Drosophila melanogaster: one gene and its partners. The protein of the gene in region 1 interacts with the protein of each later gene in a biochemical or structural test. Each region holds a gene or a part of one and is shown on either strand. Other genes may lie near its edges.

Region 1 (10,276 bases):
GACGCCATGCCGAAAAGCAAGAGATCTCCGTGGGTTCCATAAACCTGGTGGATTTGGCCGGCTCTGAGTCTCCCAAGACGAGCACCCGGATGACCGAGACAAAGAACATCAATCGCTCGCTATCGGAGCTCACCAACGTAATCCTGGCGCTGCTGCAGAAGCAGGACCACATCCCGTACAGGAACTCCAAGCTGACGCACCTGCTGATGCCCTCGCTGGGCGGCAACTCGAAAACGCTTATGTTCATCAACGTCTCGCCGTTCCAAGACTGTTTCCAAGAGTCCGTCAAGTCGCTGCGCTTCGCGGCCTCCGTAAACTCCTGCAAAATGACCAAGGCCAAGCGGAATCGCTACCTGAACAACTCGGTGGCCAACAGCAGCACACAGAGCAACAACAGCGGCAGTTTCGATAAATAAAGAATGCATTCTGAGCCCAGTTTTAACAATTTTCAAATTTCTAACCTGTTATTGCTTAATTTATGTGTGTTTACTTTTAGTGCAAATAAACTAATAAAGTGCTGGAATTCAAAGCTATCTCACTTGGCTCCCACTGCTGCCCGCACCTCGGCGGGAATCTTTTCCACCAGCGCGGCATGGTCCTGTCCCAGGCTGGCCAGCACTCCCTGTCGATTCACGTGCTCCACATCCGCATTGTAGGCGTAGTGCTCGCCGTTGATGTTGGTGAGGCAGCCGCCCTGGGCCTCTAGAACGGCCTCGGGTGCGCAGGTGTCCCACTTCTTGCAGCCCGGCGTGGCGAAGACGTACGCGTGGGCCTTTCCCTCCAGCAGCTGGAGCACTTTGAACCCAGCGCCTCCGACTTTCAGAACTTCTGTGGATGCGAATGCGTTGAGGGCTTGCTGATGCAGGGCATTGGAATGCGAGCGAGTGGTGGTTATGATGAACTGGCCGGCTGGCGCGGGGACTGCCGTGAATCCTCCCGTGCCCAGACCCTTCAGGCCCCAAATGGTGCGACCCATTTCGCCATCGGGCTGTTGGTAGAATGGCTGATGAATGATGCCGCCCACAGCAGCATCCTTCACGGCTATGCCGATCAGGACGGTCACGTGTTCAACGTGTCCTGCGGATGAAAGGAGAACATTTAGTTTTATATAAGGAGCTCTACAGGTATCTCCAGATCGCACCCTGTGTATACTCCGCTGTGCCGTCTAGGGGATCTACCCATATGACAAAGTCCTCGGGCTTGACATCCTTCCACTCAGCGGGGCAACTGTGCTGCAGGAATTCCTCATCCAACTCGTTCACCAGCCAGTCGTCGCAGACATTCAGATCGGATCCACCCTCCTCGCCAATGATCTTGACGGTGGGGAACTTTTTGGCCAAGGAGGCGATAATGCAACGCTGGGCAGAGCGATCTGCCTCCGTCTGCGGATCGTTCTTGCCCTTGTCCACTATGCCCAGGTCACCCTTCTTGAGCACGTCGCGTATGATGCCGCCAGCCCGCTTGGCGGTGCTGATCGAGGACGCCATGACGCGCATAATTACCGGAGCAGTTGCAGCCATCGTTATTTTATTTGTATGGGACAAGGATGCGGGAGATCTTTTCAAGATTGGAATGAGATGTTTTCGTCGCTGCAGAGAAGTGATTGCGGTGAAAGTAGAACAGCTGTTGGCGGCTAGAGAGGAGCGAAAAGCACAAAGTTTAGCTACTCCCCCGTAAATAGTTGAATTCGTAATTCATCAACTCCACAGTTTCAGAAATTATGTTTCCTAGTTTTGCTTAAAGTTGTTAGTCCTTTAAGATACATGAATTTAAAAATGTATTTCAGCGGGAATATTTGGACATTTTATAGCTGCAAATAATCGGCTGCTCTGTCTGGCAACGCTGTAGCCGGAGAAGACCTTTGGACCACCCGCGCCCCCGCCGCCAACAAATCAGTTCATTTCCATCTTGAAGAGGTAAGTTCTTGAAACTCAGTAAATTTCCGTAAATTTCATCAATTTTATAACTAATTTGGCAGAAAATGGCGCGTGTTTTGGTTGGAGTTAAGCGTGTGATCGACTACGCCGTCAAGGTGAGCCTGAAAAGTCGCCTGTTGCGCATCTTGTCCCATTGTCTTTTTATCACTTGTTGCGCTCTGTTTTGCGTAATCGCCTTAATTAAGCGGCAATTAAACTAATTCAGGTTACATTTATCATGTCCAGGTGCGCGTCAAGCCCGACAAGACTGGCGTGGTCACCCAGGGCGTGAAGCACTCGATGAATCCCTTCGACGAGATCGCCGTGGAGGAGGCGGTGAAGCTGAAGGAGAAAAAGCTGGCCGAGGAGGTGATCGCCGTCTCCGTGGGCCCGGCCCAGTCGCAGGAGGTGATCCGCACCGCCCTGGCCATGGGCGCCGATCGCGGCGTCCACGTAGAGATCCCGGCCGCCGAGTACGAGCTTCTGCAGCCCATCCACGTGTCGAAGATTCTGGCCAAGTTGGCTCTTGACGAAAAAGCCGACCTGGTCATCCTTGGCAAGCAGGCCATCGACGATGATGCCAACCAAACGGCCCAGATGACCGCCGCCGTGCTCGACTGGCCGCAGGGCACCTTCTGCAACAAGATCGAGAAGACAGACGCCGGTCTGACCATCACGCGTGAAATTGATGGTGGCCTGGAGACAATCAAGACCAAGACCCCGGCTGTGCTGAGCGCCGATCTCCGGCTGAACACCCCTCGCTACGCCACGTTGCCGAACATCATGAAGGCCAAGAAGAAGCCGCTGAAGAAGGTTACGGCCAAGGATCTCGGCGTGGACACCTCGCCCCGCATCGAGGTCATCTCCGTGGAGGATCCTCCTGTGCGCCAGGCCGGCGCCACCGTCGCCGACGTGGATGCCCTGGTGGCCAAGCTAAAGGAGGGCGGCCACATCTAGATGTTCCTCAACTAGAAAATTGTGAGCGCATATTCTACGTTTTTAATTAGTCGAAAGTTATCAGAAACGTGCATTTATCTAGCCGGAGAGTCGGATTTGCTGACAGGCTTTAAATTTCTCTGAATTCAACCCATACCCGTGTGCTTTAAGTGAACTATAAATTGGAATTTATTCTCGTTGTGTCCAGCTCTAAGAATAAAGTGATTGTAAGCTCTGAAATCGTACGATCAGGGTCAGCCAATGGCTGGACTCGTCTATTTTTCCGTCTCCGCGTGCTACCTTTTCGGGAAATGCCGCTCAACTTGGCGCCCAAAAGAGGCGACAGGGTCAACAGCAAACAGCCAATGGTCATTGATTTCTCATTGTTTTCAATCGGATTTATTAGCGGTTAACTTGAAAGGAGAACATTTGCTAATGTGCATTATATAAGAGTACAAATGGCATAGAAATAGTATATATTGTTCATAAAACACTCGACTACAGGCTAAAATCGTTTGTTTTCGTTTTGGACGACCATGACACACAGGCTTATACTATAAAGATATCTATGTGTATAAAATTGTAAAAAGGTCTTGTCTGTAAATGGTCTAAGGTAGATATAGATAAGGGTGGGCCGACATTCCTGATCGAGAATCAAAGAGGCGCAAGTTGTTCTATGATAAGGTTTAGTAGAGAATTTAAAATTTTGAGATCGTCTTTGTTCAGTTGGCAAGTTAAAATTGTCAAAAAATTTTGGCCGGAGTAAAAACCTCTTAGATTTCTAAGTTAAATCGATCTACTCTACCCACCCCAAAAAATATAAATACAGACGAGTAAATGCGACATTAATAAATGTCAATCGAAAGATACTTTGTGCCTAAATAAAATAAAACGGGCAGTGGCACCAATCTCGTCGAGCAATTGGGCAGGTTAAAAAAGTGTTGTATAAAAAATATGCTGCAAGGCCGATAGCCCATGAGGTTCTAACTTAATTGCGACTTGGTTTATCACACACCTCGCCGTACCCACCGTTTGATCCATACCATTAGCCATCAAACCCGTCCGGCTGGTGCCAACTGCTTGTCGCTGAAACGCAGAATGCGCGTCAGCATGGTGGTTATGCAGGGTATCTGCTTCTGCTGGTGCATCTCCGGAGTGTCCGGGGTGCAGGACTCAAAGTCCACGGCCACCCGCTGGCACACGAATGTGAGCAGGGTCAGGATGTCCAGCCGCTTGCCATTGGCCGCCAGTTCGGCGCACAGGCTCTGCATGAACCAGCTGCCGCGGGTGGTGTTGCGCCACGAATAGAATCCAGGAACCGTCGAGTAGGCGATCAGAAAGTCGGCGTGCACTGGAATCTTGTAGCTCATCGAGGAGTCGCCATCGGTTTCCGTCTGAGAACGCTGCATGGTCACTCCGCCATCCAATCTGTCGCCCTGGCAGGCCTGTATGAAGAACAACTTGGGTTTGCCGGCTAGCGAGGGGCAGTGATTGGCCGTGAAGAAGCTCCAGATGTTATCCAGCTTGTACTGTGTGTCCTTGGCGTAGATGTAGCCCATCTCGCCGTGCGACAGGATGGCGACCAGGATGCAATCACTATCGCTGTGATTCTGCGACGCTGCATACTCGATTGTCCTCAAAATGTCCTTGTAGCGGCAGTCCTTGTACACGGTCACTTCGAAGTCCAGCTGCTTGAGCACCCGAGTCAGATTCTCGCAGTCCACATTGGTTCCCGCGCGAGACTTCAAGGTGGGCACCTCGAAGTGCTCATGGTTGAAGATCAGTGCCATTCCGCGGTTCTTGTGGCGCATGTTGTACTCGGCTGCATGGCGGTCGGTGACCATTTTGGCTACATTCTTACGGTAGCTGGACGAGGGTGAGCTGTACCCGTTGGCCAGCTGCCCAATGGCTCCGCTGCCGTAAGGATGCGAGGATCCTGCGACCAGGCCGCTGCTACCCGCTCCTCCGGATCCCACGGAGCCCAGGGCATCTGTGTGATCGTTGGGCTGCTCCGGATTGCCCACCCTGATGCCCACCTGGTCGGCGGATTCTCCATTGTTAGTGGCGTCCATGGCTAAGTTCTCTCCTTGAGCCTGCGAAAACTGATGAGTCACAAGCACTGCGAAACAGGTTTTTCCAAATCTGTGAAAAGCTTGGATGCACGACTTGGGCAAATTAGCTTCGTTCTGGGGAAAGTCCGTGTTTACGCGCAACAAAGACAGCTAGTTATTAACTAATTACTTTAGTCGATTGCGTTTTTGTCTTTAATTCTGTAAGACCGTTGTTGGCAGTTGAAAAACACCAAATAGCGCCTGATTTGGTGATGACACTTCAGCCCTCGTGTCACGATTACGGTAAACAAAGAAAGTAAATAAATATAGGAAAAATTATTAAATGGGTTTTAAAAAATATTAAAATAATTTGAAATTAAAAGCTTGGAGGTAATTTTGTGGGAACTTGTATAATCTACATAAAAAACAGGCCTGCTTCCATTTATTATTGTAGAATCGAATTCGCATCCAAAGCTAAAACGTAAACATCAGTTTATAAATAAGGCAGACCGCTGCTGGATTTTCGAAAAATAACGTAAAATACCGTAAAATACGCTCTTATGCACGGTCACACTCTCAAAGAGGTTTGAGACGCACTGTAGAATTTGTTGAATTGTTTCAATTTGTTTAAAAATTAAGAAAATTACCAATGTTCTGGACACCAGAGCAAGTGGAGAGCATGCTGGAAGTGCTAAAGACCTCCACGGATCGAACAGTCATTTACAAATGCCTGGTGAAGCTGCGCACCGATCTGGTGAAGGATAAAAATGGCATTGTTTTATTTCGCACTGCTGGGGGCGTTCACATCATGGTGGGTTTGGGAGTCACAACGCTCATGGTGGTTTGACAGCCACTGCCGCTCACATAGGATCGTTATTCGAATCGATTTTTAAATCATTATTAATTGCGTCTTCCAGGTGCGACTGATCACCAAGCTGAATGAAAAGATAATGGAGGTGGTACTGAGCATACTGGGGAACTGCTGCACCGACGAACAGTCCTGCATTGAGGTGGGATTATCAGATTACATTTTTATCTTTATTTTGAACCACAACGGTTAAAAAAATTTAAAACTTTCCACTTTAAGGCTGTTGAATGCAAGGTGATTCACCCGCTGGTGACCATTCTGAAGACCATACCTAATCCCCTGATCCAGTGCCGCGCCTGCCGGATGCTTGGAAACATCGCCAAGAGCAAGAAGGCGTCCCAGTGTCTCACAGTGCACTATGCGGCCATTGCACCGGCCATCTGCCACATCATTGAGTCCACCAGTGCGGTGCAGACCCGCATCATGGCATTCCGCGTCTGCCGTTTCCTTCTGGCCAGCAGCCAGTTCCTGAAGTACTTCCTCATGGCCAATGGGTTCCAGCAGCTGATGCGAATTTTTCTGGCCGTGATGAAGAACGAAGAGGCATCCAAGGAGCCCGTTCCGGACATCGAGATGTCCACGCTGATTGGCCTGAAGAGGAACCAGCACCGTGAGAAGTATTTCGAGGAGGTAGCCCGGAATTTGGAGGGTGTTCGCAGTGACATCTTTGACCACCAGATGCTCAAGAATTCCACAAGGAACTGTGACTATGCGCTGCCCAAGGAAAATGAAGCGGCCGTTGAGCTGGCCCTCGAGATTCTGAAGTGTCTGGTCCTGATATCCGCGCAGCAAATTGGACTGAAAGTTTGGGAGGTGAGACTGTTTTCTAAGTTCTCCAAAACGTAGTACATAATAAACATTTCTTGTTAGTCCATTTCCTGGAATACCTCGCTCGCCTCCATTGTGTGCTTCGTAAAGGAGGACGGCGACCAACGGGCCTCTGCCCTTAAAATCCTCTCTAACTTCTGCAAGGATCCCTTCGCCTTCTACATGCTGAGCACTGCGGATGCCATTGTGGCTGCCTGCGAGATGCTCATGGCTGTGAACATGGCAAAGCCACTTAGCGAAAGCGAGAGCCGGCACTGCATCAACATAATCTTGACGCTATCCACCGATGCCTGCAGCCGCTCGAAGATCCGGAGATGTGGGGCACTGCGCAAGCTGGTGGCCATGATCCGGGACTCCAACTCGCAGAGCGAGCGATCATCGGTGAGATGGAAACCAAATCCCTCTTGACATCTGCTATATATAATGGCTTTCTTCATACCCAACAGCTATTTCACATACTTTACAACTTCCAATATGATAACTTAAGCATGGAACTCATGCTGTATGAAGGACTAATGCCCATGTTGGTGCGGGAACTAAACGATTACCTGACCAGCGATGATGAGCATCACAAACGTCGACGAGACGAGAGACTGCAAGGTGGTAAAAAAAGAAAACTGACGGATCCCACAACGCCAGAGACGCTGAGCAAGGTATTTATTTAGCAGCATAGCAGCTAGCATATGTTTACAAGCCACTTGCTAATTATACCCACTTTTTGCACACAAGTTCTCAAAAACCCACGAGACCTTAGGATCGGACTTTGAATCGCCGAGCAGTTCACCTAGGTCTTATCGCACAACCAGTCCCTGCAGTTCGCGCAGCATGTCACCGGTGTGCACAGATCTGCTGACGAATGATGACGACGACAACTATTCTCCGGCGTGCAGTGATGACGACGAAGATGAGGATGACAGCACAAATAATAGCAATTTGGACACAAGAGAGCGGCGCATAGCCGCCAATCGTTCGCAGCCTTCGAATGTTCTGGATATACTGAAACTAATTGAGGAGGGCAGCGAACCCATAGATGATCCGCTGTCCGACAAAGAGGATCTCGAGGAACTGAGCTCGGATGTACCACCGAAACTAGCCCCGTTCCGCAATACAACATGCAACACCATTGACATAATAGAAAACCTTATCTATCGCATCACGCTGATGGTGAACAAGCGAGTGGAGCTGGGAAAGCCAGAGACGCTCGACACTCTGATTAGAGCCATCAAATTGTTTGGATCGAACAATAATTTCCCAAATGCCCTGACAAATATTCTACTGTAAGTTGTCAAGCTGAACTAAGGATAAGCATGTATTCTAATTGCACGTATATCCTTTCAGTGAGAGCCAGTTCTTTGCCCAGATAATAAAGCATGGCGTGGTCCATCAACTGTACCAGTTTACCAAGCTGAAGGAGGTAAAGTGAGCCCATTCATCTAATGTTCATCACAGTTAACACCGCACGTATATTTCAGATTCGCAAAGACGGCTTCGCCTTCTTGGAGACGTTAACCAATGTGGGAGAATCGAATTATGGCAAGGAGGAGCTAGTGCGTCTCCTGCGCTGCGACGATGTGATATCCCAACAGAGAGCCGCCATTTCGGTGGCCTACATAGTTAAAAGCCATCGATTGCTCTATCAGTTCCTGTACGACGGCAATGCGCTGAATATGCTATTCGACATGATGCTGCGCAAGAAGACCGAGGACCACTACGCAGATGAGGCGGCGGATGCGGTGACATCGATGGCGCGATATACCCTGGGCATCGTTATGCCAGAAGCCGAACCAGCGGAGAGTACAGCAGGAATCTGCAACCAAATTGCAAATGATACCGCACCGCTGCACGCCAACTGCGACATGCGATTCCTCGTTGGTCATGGAGCGGATTCCACCTCCATTGGGTTTAATAAGCAGCTGCTCTGCGACACCAGCGAAGTGTTCAACAAGATGCTCAACAGTGATTTCCGCGAGGGTCACCAAGGCGAGATTCAGCTGCCAGATTACACTGCCAGTGGACTGCGCTACTTTCTGCATTTAATCGTGTGCCAGGAGCGGCATCTAACCGAGCCGGATTACCCCGCCCTGCTGCAGGCCTACGAGATGGCCCGCGTGTACATCATGCCCGATATGGAGGCGGTATTGCAGCAAAGACTCATCCAGTACCTGGACTCACACAACTGCCTGCGCCTGCTCGAGTGGGCGCTGAAGAACTACCATGCCGACCTGACGGAAACTGCCATCAGCTTTTATCTCTGCTCCGCGCTGCCCGCGCAGGAAAAGCTTCAGCTGTTCCGGGCAGCGGAGGACTCCACCTATGCCAGCGAGTGGTTCCAGCTGCTCAACGATGCGGTGTTCGAGCGCTGTCGCGGCTATGTCTTCTAGACACCACCACCCAGTTGCGTTCTGTGATCACATTTTGGCGTTTTCCATTCCCTGGATTCAGCTCGTTTTATTTGCCACAGCCCTTAGCCAAGTATTCCAATGTGCTACAATGTATATTTAAAATGTATAGACTACGGATTAATCTAAATCTTCTCCTGCCTGTTCGTTGACTCGTAGGTGGGCATCGCGCAGAAACGCACCGTGAGCCAATCCACTAGCGGAGTGGGGCAGAGCGTAAAGAGCCAGCGATAGAGGCGATATCTACGGGGTTCCTCGATGTACAGAGCCAAGGGTTGTGAGCTGGTCAATGCATCCTTAAACTTTGCCAGCAGCGACTCGTTCCTCAGGCGATTGGGCGGCTTGAAGCCGCTCAGTACTTTCAGATAACCATTGAAGGCCTCGAAGTAAGTGTCGTACAGAGCGTGTTGCTCCGCACTGAAGGCTTCGCGCATCTTCTGAGCATGCTGCTGCTGTCTGGCCGCAATGTTGCTGTCCAGGACGAAGGAGCCTGGTATGAAGTTGACCACCTCCATGCCATACTGCTGCAGCTCCACGCGGAGTGAATCCGTCCAGAAGCGAAGGGCTGCCTTGGAGGCGGCATAAGGACCCAGTGCCGGCAGAGCCTGCAATCCGCAGTGGCTGGTCACATTGATGATCCTGCCCTGCTGCTGCCGGAGCAGGGGCAGCAGTTCATGTGTCAGCCTCATGGTGCCCAGCAGGTTGCAGTTGATCTGCGCCTCGATCTGCTCCGTTAGCTGCCACTCGAATTCCCCGAAGCACATTACTCCAGCATTGTTTATCAGTGCCGTCAGCCGATAGCTGGGGTCTTTGGCCAGTATGTCCCTTAGCTGGCGATGCACCAGGCGAATGGAATCGGGTTCCAATAGATCCAGTTCCAAGGTGTGCATTCTGCTCAGTCCATCCTTGGCCGAGGCTAGGCCCTGCAGCAGTTTAGCTCCTTCCGACTTGATGTTGTGGCAGCAGGAAATCACGGTCATGTGCAGCGATTCGTGGCAGTAAACTGCCATGGAGTGGCTATCGAGATCATTGCGTTATTAGGCTCCACTTGCTCCCGCTTCGCTTAGCTTACCCCAATCCCGAATCGCAGCCCGTGATGAGCACCACATGCCGGCTATCGACCTTCAGCTGCTGCCTGCCCAATCCCAGGGATCGTCGCAGGGCGCGAAGAAGTTGACTGCCGCTCATATCGCCGCTTCTCGAGTAACTGAAACAGAGATCCGCGATTCGTGGCTGCACCGAAAGCAACAGATCCCAAAAAAAACAAAAAAAAATGCA
Region 2 (10,849 bases), on another chromosome or scaffold:
CTGCGAATGGATTTTTTGTGAGTTACTTGCATAAATGTATAGAATATGATAAATGTGATACAGTACCGCATTATCTATCTGTTTTCATTTAAACTTTATGTTATCTAGCCTAACACGTTATATATTTTTTTTCAATATAATTTGATGGAAACTTTGCAATAATTGGTGTAATGTAGCTGGTACCTTTTACTGCAAAGTGCCCGCCTAAATCCTGTTGACTTACCACAATATTTTTCGAAATAGTCCTTTTGCCGTAGTCTGGAGTCTGTTGCAGCTGCAGTTATTCCACTTTCCCCGAGGATCGCCAGTCACGCGAGTGGCCCAGTCATTGACAAATGGCCAGAGAACTTCTATTGTTTTATTTTTATTATATTTTACTTCTCTTCATTTTCAGAGCACTTTTCAATTGAGCTTTCTCCCGCTTCCCCGCGGAATTTGGCCTAGTTTGTTGTCTGCGATTTGGTGTTGTTTTCCAAATACATATTTATGTATGTATGTATGTGGGTTTTCCCCTGGCTTTGGTAGGCCTGCAGTTTTGAGTTACTTGGCACTTGGCTAATGCTTTTGTCTGCTTTTCTTCTGCTTTACTATGCTTTTCTTATGCTTTTTTCATGCTTTTCTGCCAGACGGGCGACGCAGTGTCTTTGCTTGCACTTGAGGAACCGTTATCTGGGTGGTGTACGAGTGTGCGAGTGTGTGTGCGCTTTTTTGTGTGGTTGAATTAGCGAGTGAGACACGAACTTTTGACCCCGTTTCGACAATAACAACACGAGAAGAGCAGAGGCTTGGCTTCCATTCTCCGGCTTTTTGAACCACTGGCCGGCTTTTTGGCTTTTCAACACCAAAAGCGCTTACATTTATGTCCGTGACTGTTTTGAGGGTTCTGAGGATTGCCCGAATGAAGGGTTTGCTGAAGTGCCCTGGCTTTTATTGATTTAGCAAGGCGTTATAGCCCGCAAATATAATACAAATCAGGCTCTCATTCGATTGGGGTTATCAATTGGCTTTAACTTTCGCATCAATAAAGTATGTTTACCGTTGGAACTTTAAGCACTTTCCCTCAACACATTCACAGTTCCATATGTTTAACGGCGCTTTTCACTAACGAATTGTTTATTGTTTGTTGTTTCCGCGTTTTTTATTGATTTGGCAGGGCGTTTTTTCCACAATCATAATAAATGCCAGTCATTTCCCGTTAGTTTTTTATAACCCATCAGTAGCAGTAGCACTACTTCCTTCGTTCTTCCTCTTCTCCCGTTGTAAAGAGTGGTTTTACCGTTAGGGTTTTATTAGCACTTTTCACTACAATAGCTGAAGTTCCGATTTGGGTTTTGCGCACGTTTTACGTAGCTAGCCGAAAACTGATAAAACATCCGCATACATGTTGTTTTTGCTCAGCCAGCGCCTCACGAACTGAGTTTAAGAACGGCGAAATACGCGAAAAGCCAGCATCTCAGCTCAGCTGTGATTGCGGTACTTTCGCTCTCTCTCTTTGGCGCCATCCGGAAAAGTACCGTACTCCACGTGGCTAGCGAACAGCTGTTGCCGCAGATGTTCCACTGAGCATGCGCAAAAGGAGCTCGCCGCGGGAAACTGGGAAATTAGAAAGCTCCGTTACTGGAAAATCGGTTTAGTGGGAACGGTTGCTAGCTATTTTCATATGCCATAAAAGTTTCTCCACCAACACGACACCTACAACTTGATGGCACCCAAAAGTTGGCGCGAAAGTCAACACTTCGCACATAAAGACATCTTTCCGCTTGGCCAACTTTTCGGGCCAACAAACTTTTCACATTACAAAAAGCGCACATTTTTTAACCCACATTTGGCATAAATTTTCGCATTACTTGGGTTAACCAGAGCTCTAGCACAAAAGAATGGTAGATATTATAAATTATTTGGGGAGTTTAGAAAACCACTCTCTTCTAAAACTCTACTCAAAATAAAATCAAAAAATTCGTCTTAATAGGTGTTTAATGCATTTATGCATTTTAGATTGGCAATTAGAAACAGAAACCGTAAATAGTATTATTATTACTGATTTAATGGCCTTCAAACCCTTTATTGTTAAAAACATTATCTTTTTGTCATTACTTTTGTTTTAATTTTAGTTACGTTTTTTATTGTTAAATAATTACAAAACCCTAATGCACAAAAATGCAAAAAACGTCGAAGCCAGCAAGCGCCGGCAGCGAAAGTGTTCAGCAACAATGGCCATCGTGACCGCTGTGGTTGTGCGAGTGGCCATGTCCGCCGGATCTGTGGACCGCCTTCTCCTCCTCCTCGCCTGACTGCTTCGCAGCCTTGGCCTGATCCTCATCGGCAAACTCGCTGAGGTCGCGTCGCATGGCATATGCATCCTCGCCATCGGCATAGTACTTGGGCTCCACCTCGATGATCTTGAACTTGAGGGCGTTGGTGTAGAGGTTCAGGGCAGCCCGATTGCTCTTCCTCACGTGCAGGGACACGTACTGGGCATTGAAGCACTCGACCATGGCCTGGGAGGCCTGATTCATGAGCTTCTGGGCCAGGCCCAATCGCCGATAGGAACGCTTGACCGCTAGCGAGGTGATGTGCCCATGGCGGCTCTCCTCATTGGGCTCCGGCTCCTCCATCTTGGCCAGGACATAGCCCACAATGGCGCCCTTGTCGTCAACGGCCACGTAGCTAAGCTGAGGCCAGGTTAGTCCGTGGTAAAAGTAGTACTTCATCTGGTAGTTTTCGGGTAGACACAGCAGATTGCAGTGCTGCATGGTCATTAGGTCTTCCGGTTTTGCGCAGCGGATGTTCATGGTGAGGCTGTGTAGATGTGCTTCCTAGTCTCGGCGAGCTTTCCTGGCTCTGCCGTGGTGGTGTGGCTGTTGATTCTGATGATCCCAAGCAAGTGGTTGCTGATCCTCCGGCTCCTCCTGACCCAACAGCTCTCGAACCAGACGAAATTTCGATAGAAACGCCTTCCAGATGAGGAACCAGCCTGCAAAATAGACAAATTTCAATATGACTTGTTGCTCGGATCGTAGAAAATTGTTTCCATTATAACGTGATCGTCTGCGGGCGCCTGCTTACCCAACAAAATAATTGCTGCGACGATACTAACAGAGGCTAATATGGTGAAAATGAAAGCCAAGCCCGTTTGCAGGGACATTCTAACGGGGTAGTACGAAATCAGGAAACTATAAGCATTAAACTATAAATGAAATTTGAAAATAATAATTAAAACTACTTGTCAAAGGGTTTAATTTTAGTTTCCAGCAGCGAATTAAATGTTTTTTCTCCCTATTTGGATTGCTATCACAATAAAGAACAGCTGTCCTCTGGGTGTGGCCGTTATTCAACACTGAATGAAACCAGGGATACAATTTCTTGTGCTCTTTTTGTGGTAATAAGTGGGATATTTGCAAAAATTAACAAAAGCACAAATAAAAATATTGCAATCAAATATATTTATATTCTTCTGGCAATCTAAAACTTCTGCTTTTCTAGTTTTAACATTTATTTAAAAGACCCTGGCACAAGTGACTTTAGTTGCCACCAAAAACCACATGGGGTTAGAAGTTCCACTAAGCTGTCTGAAAGGCCTTTCAATAGAAGCTGTTCGATGAATCGTCCTTTGAGACAGGCACACTATACACATGGTCACGCCTTTGGGTTAGTTTTATTCAATATCCACCTGGCTGTTTAATTTATTTATATTCGCGAATGAGCACACTTCTTCCACACTAAGTTTATACACCGGCACCAGTCTGACCAGAGTTTGCGTGGGCCGAAATTCCAAGATATCTTAGTTTGCAGAGAATACCAATCATACTGCTACTATATTGAAATAGAATGGGATAAATTCAAATCTGTTAATTTACGTTTAAAAAGTATTTTAACCCTATGATGTCAGTTAACTCACATAGTATAGACTAATCCATAGAAAAGGAAATGGTTTAATAGCTGCCTTAATAGTCTAAAAATACTGCACGTTACTAAAATACTAGATGAAAATACAAAACGGTAACTGTGAAAACAGCTGATTTGCAGCAAACAAAGTTACCTCTGCAAACACAACGCATTTAAGCAAATGCCATTTGTGCAGTTTAACTAAGTAAAATGCAGGAATTTTCAGCCAAACGAGACGCTCTTTTCGCATGTCTCGACGATGCGAGCAAAGAGTTGCGGGGAACTGCCTTGGATCAGAGCAAGGCCAAGGCGTTTTCCATCAATGCCCTCGATCGAGGAAACAAATCCGGAAACGAATCCGGACAGGTGATGAACTACCGCCAGGGTCGCAGCATTGTTACTGGCCTCGATGCGGAGGATGGAAGACTGCGACGAATGCGCGGCAAGGAGAGCATTTTCAAGAAGCCCGAACTCCCCATTGGACGCTGTTTGAAGCCAAGAAAAACGCCAGATTACCAGGTGACAGACCATCCCTCTGCAATTAGTTGTCCCCACCCTAAACGTTTGACCTACTCTCTAGGTAAACCCGCACAAATGGAAGAAGTACTCCCTGTCTGATGTGGACATTTCCGAACAGAGCAACTCCGCCGCCGCCTTGTCCTTCCTGCGACAAATGGATGCACAGCGCGAGGCTGAGGGCGTCGATAACGAATCTCCACCTACAGATGGCAAGATCGAGTTCAAGAGGACCAGCAAACTCAGCCGCAAGCTCAAGAGCCTCAAACAGCAGGAGGTGGATGATGTGGAGCTGGATAAGCCGCAGTTAAGAGGTTCCAAGCTGGTGATGCCTGAGTATGTAATTGGCCAAAAGCCGCATAAGCCAAAGAAATGCAAAACCAAATCGGAACAGAGCCGTGCAGCGGGAAAACTACAACTGTCCCACTTGGCGGAGGAGGATGAGCAGGATGATTAGGTTAAAATGTATGATCCTAAGATTATATTATATAATAATTAGTGTCCCAATGAAATTTTAGAAATGTAAATAGATTTTAATTATATACAAACTGCGGTTTGTTGTGAAATATCATCGTTTATTTTGTAAGTGTACACACTCAAAAATCAGACTGGAAAATTGCTTTACATTTTGCCTAAATGTTCGATTTCAAAAATCTGGCTGTGTATATACTGGAACTCTGTATTATAATATTTGTAGATTTCTGGCAGTTATCACATAAATTACATAATTTCGTACCTTTAAATGAGGTATGCAATACGTATTAGAAGAATACTTGAATGAGTATTTGTTACAATATAAACATTTTATAGCACGCGAGCACAGAACACATAATCTAAAAGACATACTAAATGCGACGATAAGAACATAAATGCGGTTAAAAATGCATCCGGAATGATAAAATGTCCAGTGGCGGCAACTATTCGTTGAAAAACCCGGGATTGAAGTAGAGTTTCTTATTAAAGCCAAGATTATCATAGGCACCTGTCTGCATGGAACCCTTCTTGGTGCGCTTATTACCCACGGCTTCGCTCGTCTTCTTTAGGATATCCTCAAGGTCTGTGTCGTGGGCATGATCGGCCATCACTTGGCAAAACTTCTGGATGTACCAGCTGCCCGTGTCGAGATCGCGGTGGGTAACATAGCCCGGCGTATTAGCATAGCAGACCAGAGTGTCGGCAAGACTTGGCACATTGGTGCTCGGGCTGGGTATGCCCTCCGTCTGGGTGTCAGGCCACTTCTCCTCTTGCGCCGTATACACTGGCTCCATGAGATTGCCTTGATTCTTTGGATGGCCCAAATCATATTCATCGCCGCGGCAAAAGGGAAACATAAGCACCTTCGGCTTGTTCACCAAATAAGGACATTTGGCCGTCTGGAAATGGTCCTTGATCTTCTGCATATCGACCACAGATCCATCGCAAAACTCCACCTTCTCTTTTCCCTCCACACTGTTGCCGTGTGTCATCAGTACCATTACGAAACACTCGGTATTCTGCACATACGACGAGGAGGTCACCATTGTCAGAAGTTTAAAGAACTGATCCTGATTCACGTTCCCATAGGGGAAAATCGTAAAATTCAGTTCTTGAAACAAGTGTATCAACGACTTGCTGTCCTTTTCGGCTCCGATCCGTCGACGGTTTTGATCCGGATAGTCCATTATGTTAACCATTAGCAAAACGCCTCGGTTGAAACGTGATTGCATCTTATATGTGCCCAATATGGCACTATCCCCACCATGTATCTTTTTCGATTTTTTTACCTCGGGACCGTCAACGACACCCACATAAGGGGTGAGTGCTCCCAGCGGCTCATTCCGGAGCTTTGGTAGGAGAGAGAAAGAAAGAACAAATTACAATAAAGATAAGATTTTCAATATATATATTATATTTTCATTGCACGGTTAATGTGGCAGACAAAGAAGTAATCAACATTCGTGCTATATAAACACAGCTGCCAGCAATATTGCGATAAGATTCTGGTTAAAAACAAATCCTACTAAAAGAATAATTGGGATAGGTAAGTAGAATGGATGTGATTCATGCTTCCAAAAAAAATGGAAAACAAGAATCTCATACACGAACTAACTTCTGAAAGAGAAGCAAATAATACTGTGCACATGTACCAAAGTAGTATTCATCATTGAGTCCATTTACAATTCTTAAAGATACCTTTTCTAATCTCATTCCAATAGGAATAACTCAATTAACAAACCTAAAAAAAAAAATGCAAATAAATTGTGCCATAAACCGGTTTTTTGTAGAAATCAGGGTCAATGACCTGAGCTGCAATTTCACCATCAAAGCTTTCGTATGATTTTATTTTCATTACCTTGCTAACGCAGGGTCCTTCGGAGGCTTCGGGTGAGGGTGTGTCCACAATATCGGCCGACTTCCGGCTGGTTCTCCGTTCGTTTAGCGAGATAAAGGGTGGCCTTGAATCGGACTCATCGACGGATTCCAATAGAACGGCCGCATCCAGACAATTGATATTGCGCAGTGCATTGATCAGCAGGTTATAGGCGGTGGGACCACGCTGGGTGATCTTCAATAGGAGCCTACGATGCTGCTCCACACGCACATCCTTCTCGTCCATGTTGAATGGCTTGCCATTGAGATCCTGCGTATTTCTTAGCATCTGAACGGTTAGGATGCCCTGTTGCACGCACTCCATGGCCAGACGCTCGTAGTTCGTCCATTCAACCAGTATATTCAGATTCTTGCGTATATGCTCGCGATGCCTCTTCGGCATTCCAATCTCGAGCTCCGGCGGCTGCATTCCGGATATGGCTTCCACGCGTTCCGGTGACTCCGCTTATTGGGCGCGCCAAGGATGGCTGCCGTGATCAGTCTCCAATTGGCAGTGGTATTGGCAGTGAATCACCCGTCTCCAAGGTTTTCCCGGGAATGATTTCGTTTATCGCTACTTGTCGATTCTTTGTCTCCGCTTTGTTGTTGTCGTCGTTGTTTTTGTTTTGCGACTTTCAAGAAAGGGGCACAAATCGGCGGCCCTGCTGGTGTCCTTATTTTTCCAAAAGTAAATTAACTAGTCTATATATTGCACTAGATGATCCTAGCAAGGATCGGGGATCTTCGAATAGGATTTCTTTCGAAACAAAAGGACCAACGAGCGTTTCGCGCCGCCAAACTCGCCACTAAACTAATAAATGAAACTTTGGGATTGGTGTGGCTGCTTGTGGGTGCGCCATTTTAACCAGAGAACGCGTCCGGGATAAATCCATGACATGAACCGTCTCCATGTTCCACTTATTCCACCATTCCTTCATTGCCGCATCAAATGATTCAATTTAATACTAAATACCAAATACCATATGGGGTCAGCCTAACAAACCGTAAACATAAACAAAAGAAATGGAGGAGGAGCAACAATTTACGCCGGAACCGAAAAACTCCGCGCAAAAAGGCGCAGAAAAGCCTGCAAGGATTCCGAGAGAGGTGAAAGTTAAGCTGCAAAGGCAACTAAACAGACTGGGCTACTCACAGCAAATCCTGCTCGAAGCAGCCAAGCAGCAAAATCAAAATAATTCGAATGGCATTCTCCGTGAGTTTTCTTAAAACATGCATAATGCAATAAAAGTACATTGTCCCCCAATCCCTTTTCTAGAGTATGTGGCCGACATGATTGGCAAGGGCGAGGAAATGGTGAAAAACTGCGACTCCGTTAGCTTAAACAACATTAACCAGTGGCTGGAGCTCATGAAAAGTTCGCAACTCGCTGAACTCTGCGAATTCGAAGCAGCCGTCGTTGTGAACTCCATAATCCAAAATGAGACAAAGCCATCGCCAACGGAACTGAACGGCATTGACTTGAAGTAGGAATGGTTTTGATAAACTACATTTGTATTTAGCATTGTGGTACTTTCAGTGAGGCCTACAAGTTTCTGGAAAACGCTTTGATGGGCCAGCCGCAAAAGAAGATGAGCGATGCGACCAAAGAATTTTTGTCCAAGGAAATTGAGGTGAGCAGAAGGCTGCATCAACTTTCCAAAATAGTTAAAAAAAAAGGAAATCCTAATGCCAACAGCTGCTCATAGAGAAGGCAAACACCGACGAATCCGACGATGTGGCACGCAGCATGGGGCAGCGTTTATTTGACCACCAGTTTTTGGATTACATGGAACAGCGGCAAAAGTGCAGTTTGGATCCACTATTCCTGGACGAGAAGCTAACGTAGAGGCTGTTATTGAGTAATTGAGGAATTTAGCACACAGAGCATTTATTCATTTCCACACATTTATTAAACATTTAAATTCAATTGTTTGTTACATACGTACATTGTCACACGCATTTGCACCGCTCCATTATCATCAATCAAATCATCGGATCCCACGTTTATACATTATTAGTATTACTATGCCAAATGCCCCAACCTTTGTACGTATTAATATTTGATAATTACACTCTTAATTAAGTACTTGACTATAAACAGTTTTAGCACATTTAAAATCTAGAATTCCTTTAGTTGTACACAATTACTTCGAGTAGTGTAAGAAAAAGTTGTGGGTCTTTGGCCTTTGGATTCTCTCAATTGCATAACATTTATTGTGCATGATTGTTTTCAATTGTTGGGGCTGCCAATTAGCATTGCATAGACTAGTGTAGAGATAGGTAGTTTAGTTTTAGGTTTTGCTACGATTAGCTTTGTTTTAAACTTTAAGAGGCATAAAAACAGTTGAGTGCTGCTTGACTCCCATAGCATCACAATAGAATCACAAGAGACAGAGTTGGCTTCATTTCAATTCAATTCATTAGAGGATCTAGGATGGTACACTTACGATAACATAACGTACATACGATCAGAATTACATACAAATTCGAATACAAATATAATACCCTTTTGTTTTAGGCGCAGTTACTAGCACTAAAACGATCTTCACACAATCAAATGCAATTCAATAATGTACATAATATAACTCTTAAATGTTCAGTCCAGTTTGAGCTTTTGGTTTTCCCCTTTTTCTTTGATTTAGATTTTGTTTTTAATTTTTTCATTTTTAAATTTTTTTTTTTGTTTCTTGTGTTTAGGTTTCTGTCTTGTCGCGTAAACATTAATTAAAATTAAGTAAATCTAATTATATATACGTACGATTAAACGCTAGTAAACCATATCGATATGCTTGTCTAAGGTGAAATAAATAAACAACAAATTCGGACCGAACAAAATGCAAAGCAATTTCAGGTGCATGGCAAGGATATGCTGGAGTTTCAGGATCAAATTAGCTGGCATTAACCAAACGCAGATCCAACGAATCGAACAAACACAACGAACGACAACAACGTAACTTAAAATTGCAATTGTTTGTTAGTTGATAGTTGATATAGAATTAGTTTTAGTGTCGCTTGAATTTTGATTGTCCCGTTCCCGTTCGTGTAATTCATACTTTTATTCATATCATTCGAGTATGTGTATATAAAGTAGAGTGGTTTTTAATGTGTCCTAGATAGAGTTCGTCCTGCTGCTGCTGCTGCGTTTTGTATACATATATAAATTCATATTTTTTTTCGGGTTTCACTTCTACTCCGCTAAACATAGCACAACAATAATGATAATAATCGCTTTAATTGCCGTTTACGTAATGAATACATCTATGACACTGGTGAGTCTTCACTATATGTATAAAGTTTCAAGAGTTTACCATTACCAATTACCACACTTTTACGCATATAGCTGCCCAACTATACAAATTGACTATAAATGTGAGACTGAGATTGAGTTTGAGATTGCCTTCGGGTACAGCGGCTTCAGTAATTACTGGCTCTGGTTCTATTTCGGATCGGTGGACCTTGGATTGGATTCGTGTATATTCACCTTAGTAGTAGTTTTGGGTGTTTTTTTGGAGCTATCTATTACGTTTGATCATAGTGTGTATATATTGAATGAATTGAATGATGGGTATAGAATATACATAGATTTATGTGGGATTCATCACTATAAAGCGCAGGCGGGATCACTCGAGGTTCTTGGCCAAAAAATAAACGTTCCTTTCGTATTCGTGGTTATTCATATTGATTACTTTTTTGTTTGTTTTTTTTTTTTTTTTGATTGCGATTGCTGTAAAGCTCTGTGATAAGTTTGGTTTCTATGGTGCTAGGTACGTTGTATGTAGGTACACGATTCTCTCTTAGTTGATTGCATATATTTATCATCGATGTTTGCAAAATAAATAGGCAATATATGTTTGCTTCTGTATCTTTTGCAGTGTGATATGGTTTAAACTATATATATATGATAAACTATGATGATATAGGCGAGTTCAATGACACATAGAGGTATATATTTGACATATTTTTGTATTTTTTTTTTATTTTTTGCCTAGCGTAAACATTCACAATAAATATATATTCGAGAATAGTTAGGATTTCTAGGAATTGATTGCATTCTGCATAGTGTTTCATTGGTTTTTAAATGGTTCGTGTTCTTGTGTTG
Region 3 (10,897 bases), about 26 Mb from region 1:
ACTGGCCAAAGCGGTTGAATTAGATAGTACTACATTAACAGAAGCCCAAAACAATTTAAAAATATCACTATTAGGAAAATGCTCCTATATTCGAAAGTTGGAGAGAATTATTGCATATATCTTAAGATTTATTAAAAAAAATAATAAAATTAAAATAAAAAATAAATCTTTTCCCACATATTTTAAAGCAAATGAACTTAAGGTAGCAAATGCATTTATAACAAGCAGCCGGAAATTCAGTTTAGTTCAGAGATACAATGTTTAAAGCACCAAAAAGATATTGATACTAAAAGGAAAACATTAGCATTGAACCCATTTTTAGATAAAGACGGGCAAAGAGTGGAAGGTAGATTACAAAACTACAGAACTAAATTTTATACGAAATTCTAGATACGTGTAATTTAACATCGTTAATAATCAAAAATGCACATAGGGAAACATTACACGGCGGAATTAATCTGGTTTCACACCAGATATAATCACACCAGATTATATTCAAAGAAAATTTTGGATATTTGGGTTAAGTAACCATTTGAAGCAGTCACTAATGCGTCCGGTTACACAAGGACAACAAAATATTAATAGTTCATCATAGTATTCAATGATGAGTAATTTAAGTAAGATTCCAAGTATTGTTTGGGATCCAGTAAAATTGTCTGCCGCTTACCATAACGAATAAAATAATAAATTAAGGAGGGATTAAAAGAAAGAAGAGAAAATAAATATGAATTAAAGGGCTTAATTTTCAGGCTATTAATTGTAGAATTAATAATCATGCTAATTTTAATTGTATATTTATAAGAGGAATTGTAGTGTCAAGGCGCATTCAAGAGCATTCAAGTTATTGTAGTATGTTAACAGGAAGCTTTTATATAGCCGGCAAGCTCAGCGTATTGGCAGAGACCGCTATGAAGCGTCTTTATGTTACGTTTTAAGTCAGTTTGTTCTGAATACTTATTTTATAAGGAGCACAAGCTTTCATACCGAACTCGACGATCCGCCGTTACATCCTTTTATTGTCACGCTATCTGAGTCTCTAGGCCAGAAGAAGTCGTCCTAATCGTTCTAATTCTACATTTGGATTTACAATCTTAAATATTTTACGAGATATTAATATATACCGACAAAACAAGTTAAATTTCCCATAGTGCACAGTTTTTATGCACAGTTTTTTACTGCTTGCGCCGCTGACACAGATATAAGCCCTATATTAAAATTATACTTTTTTTAAATGTATCCGAAACCGAAAAACAAAATTTGTGTTTACAATTAAATATTTGTTTGTAAGCGCAACAGTGTTACCTCGCTACATTAATAAACGCAAAATATAACTCCAAATGGTATGGTCCTGGTCAATTTGACCCTAACGATGGCCTTCGTGGGTCGTGACATACAATGACGCCATATTTTGGGATCTACCCGTTGTCAGACAACAGCCCTACTGCTGAACCGGTCATAACGTTAAAACAGTAAAGATAACGGTATAATGGTGGTCGCAAGCAAATGAGAAAGCAGCGACAAACGTCAACTAATTCGCTTACGTGTTAATGCTCGATCATAAAATCAATGAATGGGACAGCCGGATAAATCGGTAGCAGTGCTTTAAAGTCGTGCTTTTAGGGTATAATCTTAGTGGCTGCAGTTCCCTGTCGTTTACCTGGTAAATCCGTCCATCAATTTTTTTCTATCTTTTCTATTGTTTAATCATTTTAGTAAATAGGTCGGCTATCGTTGTTAAATTAGGTAACAAAAAATAATGGAGAAGTTCTCCATTTCTCATTGTTCTCATTGTTTTTTAACAAAAATTACTTTTTTACAAATTAGCAGTGGCATAAGTATTTGGACAAATTATTTAAATATTATTAATTCAAATAAAAAAAAGTCAACTAAAAAATTATGACAAATTAATAAAAAATATACCCTCCCTTACATCACCTGTTGCATACGTTTTGGTACAGACTGTACCAAGCTGTGGATATAATCTATTGAAATATCCTTCCATAAGGTTTGAATTTCCAAAATCGTTTCTTCGCGACTTTTAGATAAGTTTGCACGCCTTTTTTTGTTTTATATATGACCAGAGGTTTTCTATTATGTTGAGGTCTGGGCTTTGAGGTGGCTAATCCAATGTGTTTACGCAAACATCTTTCAGAAACTGCGTAATCAGTTTGACCTTATGCTGACCTTATACTCCTGCTGGAGTATGAAGGACTCTCCAAGCAATTTAGGGCAATGCATGATTATTAAGGACATCTATATATATTTTTTCCTGAATGATTTATTCACTGACACACTGGTGCCACTTTTTTACGATAATGTTTCGGTAATCTAACAAAAAAAAATTTTTTTGATCAGTGAAACTCAAAAGAGCTTTCATCGCTCCACAAAACATTGTTTCAGAATGATGCTGGCTGTCCAACATATTTTTTGGCAAAGTCGTGGCGTTTTAACTTATTTGTAGAGTTATTGTGGTATAACTCTGCTAACATATGTTCCAAAATCGGCTTCCTTAAGACGTTCCTTCACTGATATCGATTTCTGTTCCTTCTTTTAGTTCTTTGGCAACCGATCGGGGAGTTTGTAGAACATTCTGCTTAAACTTCCGTATAATATAACCATCGCCCTTTTGAGTTGTTTTACGTGGTCGGCCACTACGCGCAACGTTTTTGGTTGTGTGTGTTTTTTTATATTTATTTATTTGGTAATGCACCGTTGCCCGTGGAATTTTGTATAAATCAATGATAATTTGTACCGAAATACCAGAGTTATACTTAATTATTATTCAATTTTTTATAAATTCGCTCAGTTTCTTTGTTTTCCCCATGTTTAACAAATTTATGAATGAAATAAAAGTAGGCAGTCCCACGTTATCAAGAAAAAATGTTCAAATGATCTAAAAAAAAAGTCGAAAATTTGATATTCTTCGAACAACAGATCAATGCGAACTAATTAAATGTGTCTAAATACTTTTGCCACGGCCCAAATCGTTGCCTGTCTAGCTTTCTTATAAGCACAAGGATAATTGAAAAGGTAAACAGCCAAACTTACCCTTCGTGTGTAACTGTAATTGCACTTTTTGTTTTATCATCAATAGTTTACTTATTTATTTGACTGTACTATGAAAAGCCCGGCAGTTTCAAGCTAATGGTGTCTAAATACTTATGCCCACTAGTGTATGTACCTTTCCAGTATAATTTTAACTCAGCTGTTACATTTACGCTCAAATAATCACGACCCAGCCTAAATATAGCGAAAAATAGTTACATTATTTTCCTGCGGCGATACAACCAATGCCCATCGATTAAGGTCGACTTACATATATTAAATAACATTGTTAAATTCACTTGACTTTTCGACAAACTACAGGCGAAGTTATAGTTGATTTCCTCTACAATCTACAATTGTCAAAAAACTTTTGATATGCCCGCTTCACTCGGATCTGCATGTTTAATCGCAACCCAGTTTTATAGTTCCCACAATCACATCGTTCATACGGACATGGACAATTCGAGTCTTATCTTTTAGGGTGGGATCGATTATTTAATTTTTTTAGTGCCGGAAATGTTGCCTTTACCTGATAAATATTTTTTAACAAAGAATATACACTATTGTACCTATATAGTTGAAGGGCATCCCCAACTAAGGAATGACCAAGAAGAGATCAGAATACTTAGTGGATCAAATTACAGTTATCTATTTCAGTTTACAATCTTCAGTATAATCAAGCTTATTTTCTTTAAGAGGGATAACTTAATAATAGCAATGCAGAACAGTTACAGAACAGTTAATAGAAATTCAATGTGAGATTAACTTACGGTATGGCGTTTTTAACTTTCGCTTGATCATCATCTGCTAAGCTCTGAAATCCTGGCATATCTTCACCTGACGCAAACCAGCCAAGCTCAGAGCGCAATTGGGCGAAGCATTCCAAATGATGCCACAAAGGTTGGCCTCCGTACTTCATACCAACTTCAGTATCATAAACAGTTTTACGTAAGCGAACTAGATCCTTGTTTATTTTTTGTTCACATCCACGACACGTCGATCGACTAGATTTTGCATATTCAATCCCAAAGTCTTTTAATGCTAAGTTAAAAGCCTTCGATCGCTTTTTTCCTAATTGTGCGCTTATAACTTCTTGTATATTTTCTAAGTACATTTCAAAATGTTTTTAAATTGATATAGATCAATTTTAAATACTAACCCACAAGATCCGTTAATTCCTTTTGATCGGCAAATCGGAGATTTCCAATGTTTTGTATGTCTCCTACTGAGCTGGGACGCTGGTTTTTAAAAAAGCAGGTTTTATGAAACCAATTCGGAACTTTGGCATCATGAAATGCAGACTAAAAAATAAGAAATACAATAAAATAGTTTCTTTGTCTTTCGTTCGTTTGGTGTAACCGTTTCAATTAAAAAATAATAATAAAACGATTTTTCAAAAGTGTGTGCGTGGCAGTTTTGTGCAATTTTAGGGCTTTAAAGTGGGCGTGGCAAGTCGATAGAAATTTACAGAACTAATAAAAATGAAAAAAAAAAATATCAACACGTTTTTCAAAAGGGTTGGCGTTGCAGTTTTGTGCGGTTTGTGGGCGTTAGAGTTGCCGTGGCAACATGGGTCATGCTGCATCTATGTCTCTAGAATCTGTATGCTAAATCTCAACCTTCTAGATTTTATAGTTCCTGATATCTCGACGTTCATACGGACAGACAGACGGACATGGTATTCTTGATTGGCCTTGTCCTTTTGTATGAAAGCTATGATCTCGAAAACTATAAAAGCTAGTATTCATGTTTCGCTCTGTGAAAGTTTGTTTCAGAACGATCATCACCATGTGAGGACATGGCGAAAATTCAGCTGGTCTTACAATTTTTGCGGCCCCAACCACAGAACTGCAGCAAGCCACTGGCACTCTTAGTACACCCGCACCCACCAACTGGGTGTCTATACCCCCGGGTGTTTTTTGACACTCTACTTTCGGCAATAAAAAATATCCGAGTGTTTCGCCTGCTGCGAAATAACCCTTTGGGTGAGCGACTCACAAGCAACATTTTTATAGGTTGAAGCGTGACGGTAGAAGAAATGAAGGGTCGGTCCCACTGTCGGTCCCGCTGTCGGTCCCACTGTCAGTCCCACTGTTGGTCCGACTGTCAGTCCCGCTGTCGGTCCCACTGTTAATCCCACTGTCGGTCCCACGTCAGTCCCGCTGTCGGTCCCACTGTCGGTCCCGCTGTCAGTCCCACTGTCGGTCCCACCGTCAGTCCCGCTGTCGGTCTCACCGTCAGTCCCGCTGTCGGTCCCACTGTCGGTCCCAATGTCGGACCCACTGTCGGTCCCAATGTCGGTCCCACTGTCAGTACCAATGTCAGTCCCGCTGTCGTTCCCGCTAGTTTCGATTTCACGTGATGTTTGAGGACCTGTTTTCGTTTCTTCGGCCGCACGCATTGCCACACGCACACTGGGCCAGAGAACTGCAGCAAGCCACTGGCACCCTGTGGGTGAGCGACGCAAGTATTTGTGCCCCCACCGCTACACGATTTACCGCTGGCAATTACATGCCGCAGCTGTCGACGACCGATGGGACTAACGGCGAATCGGGATCTTTTAAAGTTTCGTAAATCAGTATCAGTTTAATCAAATTCATTTTCAATCTTTTATCTGCAGACTACTTACGTATGTATGTACCACATAGTAACTTACTTGAACCATGACAGCAATCCGAAGAGTATCTTTAGATATAGTACTTTTACATCCTTTGCAAGTGGCTCGTCCAGTTCTTGCATACTCAGCAAGATAAGGTAATTCAATATCCATATTACACTTTAAAGGAAGTCAATTTCAAGACATTTATTATTTATCGAATTATGTTGGCGATATTTTCCTAAATAATAAAATTGTATATCGATGTTAAAGACTACAAAAATATTATTATAGACGATTTCCAATGATTCTAAAGACCTTGTACAGGAGCTCATTCCGTAATTAAGCTGTATTCTGTTATAAGACGTACGACTGTTAACTATATAACTTTGTAATTGAATTCGGCAACATTAAAATTCTGTGTCGATTATACACCAGCTAGTTTAACAAGAAAGGGTGGTCATTTGGAAGATTAAGAAGGAATGGTAATTATGTTCTTACTGAATAATAACACCGACCGTTTTAATTAAGGTCTGAAACTGAACTCAACAAATTGATATGGATTGATTGACTTTGAATCCTCGGCCTCGAGCTTTATAAATATGGGCTTTGGATTTTGGAGTTCCAATGAAATAAACAGAGCTTTGGAGTTACTAACATTGATTTGTCTTTGCATTTCTCTTGGACTCGAGTTCATTCGCTATTGGATACAAACGCTCTTAGATCCTCACGACTTTGTTTATTGAAATCTTAAAATAAAGTTTTCGATTATCATCCTGTATACGACTTTGGGCTTATTCCAGTCAGGATTGCTTTTGGTTTACTAGTGTTGTTCTTCTATAATAAGAAGCTGTGTGTAGGCATGTGCTTAAGTCTAATGGACTTATGGATATGCCACTCCCCCAACCATTAGTTTTGGCAAAGACACTAGAATAACAAGATGCGTAACGGCCATACATTGGTTTGGCACTATGCAGCCACTTTTTTGGTGACGGCCAAAATTGCTCTCTTTCCGCTCGCTCACGCTGAGAACATAAGAAATCTAAAAATAGAATTTGCTTGCTTGTGTGAGTAAAAACAAGAGACGAGAACGCGTATATGTGTGCGTGTTGTGCTAGAAGACGATTTTCGGGCCGAAATCAATTCTGATCAAAGAAATGAATTTACATTGTACATATTAGGGTAGTTTTTTGCCAATTTCGTAGCAATATGATGAAATAAAATAATTTTTAAAAATTCGCGCCCTTCTTATTATAATTTTAAAATTTTAATTTTAATTTTAAAATTTTTTAATTTTAAAGCTTTTTAAATTCGTTTGTTAAAATCGCCGCTCGAATTAGCTACCGTTTACATATTTATATTTATGTTGATAATTATTTATGTGTAATATGTGTAATAGTCGGTACCCAGGGAACACCACGGGGAGGCCATTACAATTGTAATGGGGTCTTATATTTACGTATATGACCTTCGAGTCGACTTGAAATATTTTAATGTTTAACATTAAAACATTTCCACATTCCCCAATTAAGTTATTTTTCTAACTATTGTTTTTTATTATATACTGCTCGATTTTTCAGTCGTCAGTTATTTAAATAACATACTGAAAAACAACTGAATCTAATGTGCATTTTAAATAATAAAAATGGATCATTATCATATATAAATCATATTAAGTCAAATGACTTAATAAGTATGCTAAATAATTAAAGGAAGTAAAATATAAATTATTATAACTACTTATAACAAAAGGAATACATTACATCGAGAAATAAATATTTCATAAAAATAATACGAAGTAGAAAATACAAATTTGTAAAATAAATAAAAATATGAAAACTGTTTATTGCAAAAGTCACATCAAAGACACTAGAATTATTCTAGTGTCTTTGCTTTGTTCATATCTTGAGGCACGAAGTGCGGACACAAGCACTCAACAATCATTGCCTTATTAATTTTTCACACGCCGCAAGATGAATACTCTAATGACAAATATTCTTATATAAAGTCATTTTTGAAATTTATTTTTGTGATATTATGTACATAGATTTGGCTATTTCTAATCTATTTTCAAATAATAATAACGTTAAGGCAATGCAAAACAAGAATTTTTCGCATGGTGCCAATTGATCAAAAATAATATAGATTTAAAGTCTAAGAACTTCTACGGTGAAGGGCATATTTTGTCAAATTTACAATGCATGAGCATACGTGTGCACACATAAAGTTGTCTGCTATCACTGTATGCGTAGAAAAGAGCGGTTCGCTGTAGCGCTCTCCGCTCTCTCGCTCTCTAACAAAAATTCGAGAGAGCCTGGAGCCACCTCTAGAGCCACGGCGAAAATATCGTGTGCCAAAAAATCGTATGGCGTTACTCATCTTGTTATTCTAGGGTCTTTGTTATATGCAATCCGACTTAAATAAATTTGTATGTATGAATAGATCAGTTATTTGTTAAATAGCAAAGTTTCTGATCTCTTAAATTTGTTTTTATATCCTTTTTTCAAAAACATAACAAAAAATCTTAATTTTTTGGCTCAACTGAATATGTTTTACACTTTTGACTTCACTTTTTTTGACCGCGTGATTGTAAAGAGTTAAATCTTTTTGTATTCTAAAATTTAAATCATCTTTATCATCTTTTTCTAAAATGGGCCGCGGATTTATTTATTTATTTATTTTATCATATTGCTAGGAAATTGGCAAAAACTACCCTAATATGTACCATGTAAATTCGTTTCTTCGATCAGAATTGATTTCGGCCCGAAAATCGTCTTCTAGCACAACACGCACACTTATACGCGTTCTCGTCTCTTGTTTTTACTCACACAAGCAAGCAAATTATATTTTTAGATTTCTTACGGTCTTAGCGGGAGTGAGCGGAAAGAGAGTAATTTTGGCCGTCACTTAAAAAGTGGCTGCATAGTGCCAAACCAATGTATGGCCGTTACGCATCTTGTTATTCTAGTGTCTTTGCATATAACTAAGTTACAACGTTCAAACCTAAACAAGTAGTCAAACCCATTCAGTTGAGCGGCTCTGTAAATGATATCGTTCAGCTTTCTTCAGTTGGACGGTGTGGTCATATTAATAATATGATCTTTCTACTGCAGTTCGTCTTTTTTTTTAATGTTTAGTGTTTAGGATAAAAGCTTCTTGTCATTTTTGTTTGGTTACAAATTAATATACGTATTTGAATTTTATTTTTAATGTAGCATTCAAATACAAAATGATTAAAATTAATAATAAAAATGATATTGATATTTTCTAATTGTAATTGTTTAAAATATTAATGTTGTCAAGAGTAAGTTCTGAATTGTTGGATTTTATGTAATCTGATAAGTCCAGATTCTTAAAGTGGTTAGTGGTTATGTACTCAAGTAATTTGTTTTCTAAATTGGTGTATCAAATATTATTTATTGTAGTTGTGCTGTTGAAGGTTATTAAATATGACCCGTCTAAATGAGAATTGCTTACAATATTATTTCCTATTATTAGAATGGCACCTTCTTGAATGATATCTATATTCTTATTTTTTCTCGTATCTTGGTGCAAATTTAATTCTCTCCATTTAGTAAGCGGGTAAAACAAGTTTTATCTTTACTTAAAATACCATAGTTATTAGAAAGTTTGTTCTTAAAATTAGATATTTCATAAAAAGTATTTTCCCATTTGGCGATCTGATTAGTTATTAGTGAATGGATCTGGCAAAATAAATTTCACATCTTTTTGTTATTACAGGGTACTTGATATAAATAATTAAGAGTTCGTTATGTACAATTATGAATACGGAGATATCAATTAGATCTGCAATAATTAAAGGCTTTTGTTAGTGATTTAATATTTCCTTAATGTCTTTTGTTTGGTTATGCAGCCTGCAGCCAGCAGCAGCGAATCATAAGTTATTTTATTATATCACTTTTATACATTGCTCTGTGCACCAACAGATTTTGCATTCCCCTTTGTGCTATGTTCCTCTCTCTTAATAGTGAGCGAGCACAACTGTTTATGTGCAACTGTTTTGTACAACTTGCTCATTTGCCTTCTCCATAGCAAAGTCAGTCACAAATTAAGTGTTGATCTTACCGGTACTGCTGTGATGCACATTAACTCTTAATCGGTTCGGTACGGGGACTGCCACAATATTTGGTGACCCCGACGTGATCGGTAACATTTCTTTATCGTGAACTCAAAAACAAAAATTTTGGTGCACTTTTGTGTGTACATAAGTGGCTGTACTTTTCGCCCTATCTTCTTTTCGTTTATCGCAAGCATTCGCTTGCTCTCGTTTCGTTTTCTGTTTCTTTGCTTACGCAGCTAAGCATTCACGCGTAGCAGCAGTTTCTTCTTTGCCGACCGCCAAATTCATGTCGTTTTGGCTGTGCAAAAAAGAACCGACTTTGTGCATAAACATACATCATTGCTATTTGTAATGAGGTCCAAACTGGACCTCAATCAAATGGGAAGCGAAGTGCGTGACCAGTTCAAAGACATTTCTATGAAATGTGGTATATGATAAAAACGGACCTCAGTAGACGCAAAGTGCGAGAGATTGCTTGTTCAACTATGCGTCAATATCCAGGAACTGAGTGGCCTTCTAGTTCTCTATTTCGACGACCGAATGTGCCTAACCTGAAGCTACCAACCTTTAGTGGAAATTATACTGAATACACAGGTTTTATGTCGATGTTTTCTACTGTCATCGATAAAAACCTAATATTGGCTGACATGACACCCCAAGTCTTGCCTAAGAGGTCCCGCTTTGGCTGCCGTTGGTGCTTTAGAGGTTACTAATGCAAATTACCCGGCTGCCCTGGAGTTGTTGGATAAGCGCTACAACAATAAGCCGCTGATTTTGGAGTCTCACATTTCGGCGATCATGAACCTACCAAAGGTAGAGGGTTCATCTTCTGTAAAGCTGCGTGAACTGTCCGACCAAATAAATCTGCGTTTACGGCACTTCACAACATGGTCCCCCCTTTGAAAATATCCGAATGTATTTATTGTTTTCTCCAAAAAGTCGACCGTGAAACCCATCTATTATGGGAGGATGCTGCTCCCACTGAAAGGCTTCCAAAATGTAATGAATTTGTTAAGTTTTTGGAGACAAGATGCCAAAGGGTTGAAAACATCGAACGTAACAATGTTGCACTTAGAATCATGCCACAGGTTGTAAAACCTAGGAAAGCCATCCACAATTCTAGAAATTCATTTGTCGTCACTACCCCTGTCGCTTGCTGCCCTGTCTGCAATGGT

The links.
Region 2: of the proteins of Drice (region 1) and Dronc, one has a biochemical effect on the other in vitro, tested with the Drosophila melanogaster proteins (6 studies listed by BioGRID, with this or other methods).
Region 3: of the proteins of Drice (region 1) and Parp1, one has a biochemical effect on the other in vitro, tested with the Drosophila melanogaster proteins (one study listed by BioGRID).

Annotation. Positions count from the first base shown.
Region 1 is NT_033777.3:29,794,546-29,804,821, reverse strand, and holds Drice (death related ICE-like caspase), read right to left. Parts: upstream 5,165-10,276; 5' UTR 4,925-5,164; coding exon 3,905-4,924; 3' UTR 3,238-3,904; downstream 1-3,237. Other genes in the region: ncd (non-claret disjunctional), read left to right, coding at 1-416; CG7789 (uncharacterized protein), read right to left, coding at 536-1,077, 1,142-1,520; Etfb (electron transfer flavoprotein beta subunit), read left to right, coding at 1,982-2,032, 2,163-2,873; Rnb (R and B), read left to right, coding at 5,553-5,714, 5,821-5,913, 5,991-6,584, 6,642-6,980, 7,046-7,252, 7,329-7,876, 7,938-8,013, 8,072-8,980; sro (shroud), read right to left, coding at 9,124-10,015, 10,071-10,186.
Region 2 is NT_037436.4:9,965,219-9,976,067, reverse strand, and holds Dronc (death regulator Nedd2-like caspase), read right to left. Parts: upstream 7,590-10,849; 5' UTR 7,181-7,589; coding exon 6,734-7,180; intron 6,225-6,733; coding exon 5,319-6,224; 3' UTR 5,066-5,318; downstream 1-5,065. Other genes in the region: vnc (variable nurse cells), read right to left, coding at 2,202-2,792; CG42455 (uncharacterized protein), read right to left, coding at 2,817-2,974, 3,067-3,145; CG6674 (uncharacterized protein), read left to right, coding at 4,096-4,404, 4,466-4,858; CG6685 (uncharacterized protein), read left to right, coding at 7,774-7,963, 8,027-8,234, 8,288-8,381, 8,447-8,596. UniProt on the Drosophila melanogaster protein: Involved in the activation cascade of caspases responsible for apoptosis execution. Effector of steroid-mediated apoptosis during insect metamorphosis. Overexpression promotes programmed cell death.
Region 3 is NT_033777.3:3,581,165-3,592,061, forward strand, and holds the start of Parp1 (Poly-(ADP-ribose) polymerase 1), read right to left. Parts: upstream 5,891-10,897; 5' UTR 5,816-5,890; coding exon 5,702-5,815; intron 4,347-5,701; coding exon 4,205-4,346; intron 4,150-4,204; coding exon 3,816-4,149; intron 1-3,815. UniProt on the Drosophila melanogaster protein: Poly-ADP-ribosyltransferase that mediates poly-ADP-ribosylation of proteins and plays a key role in DNA repair.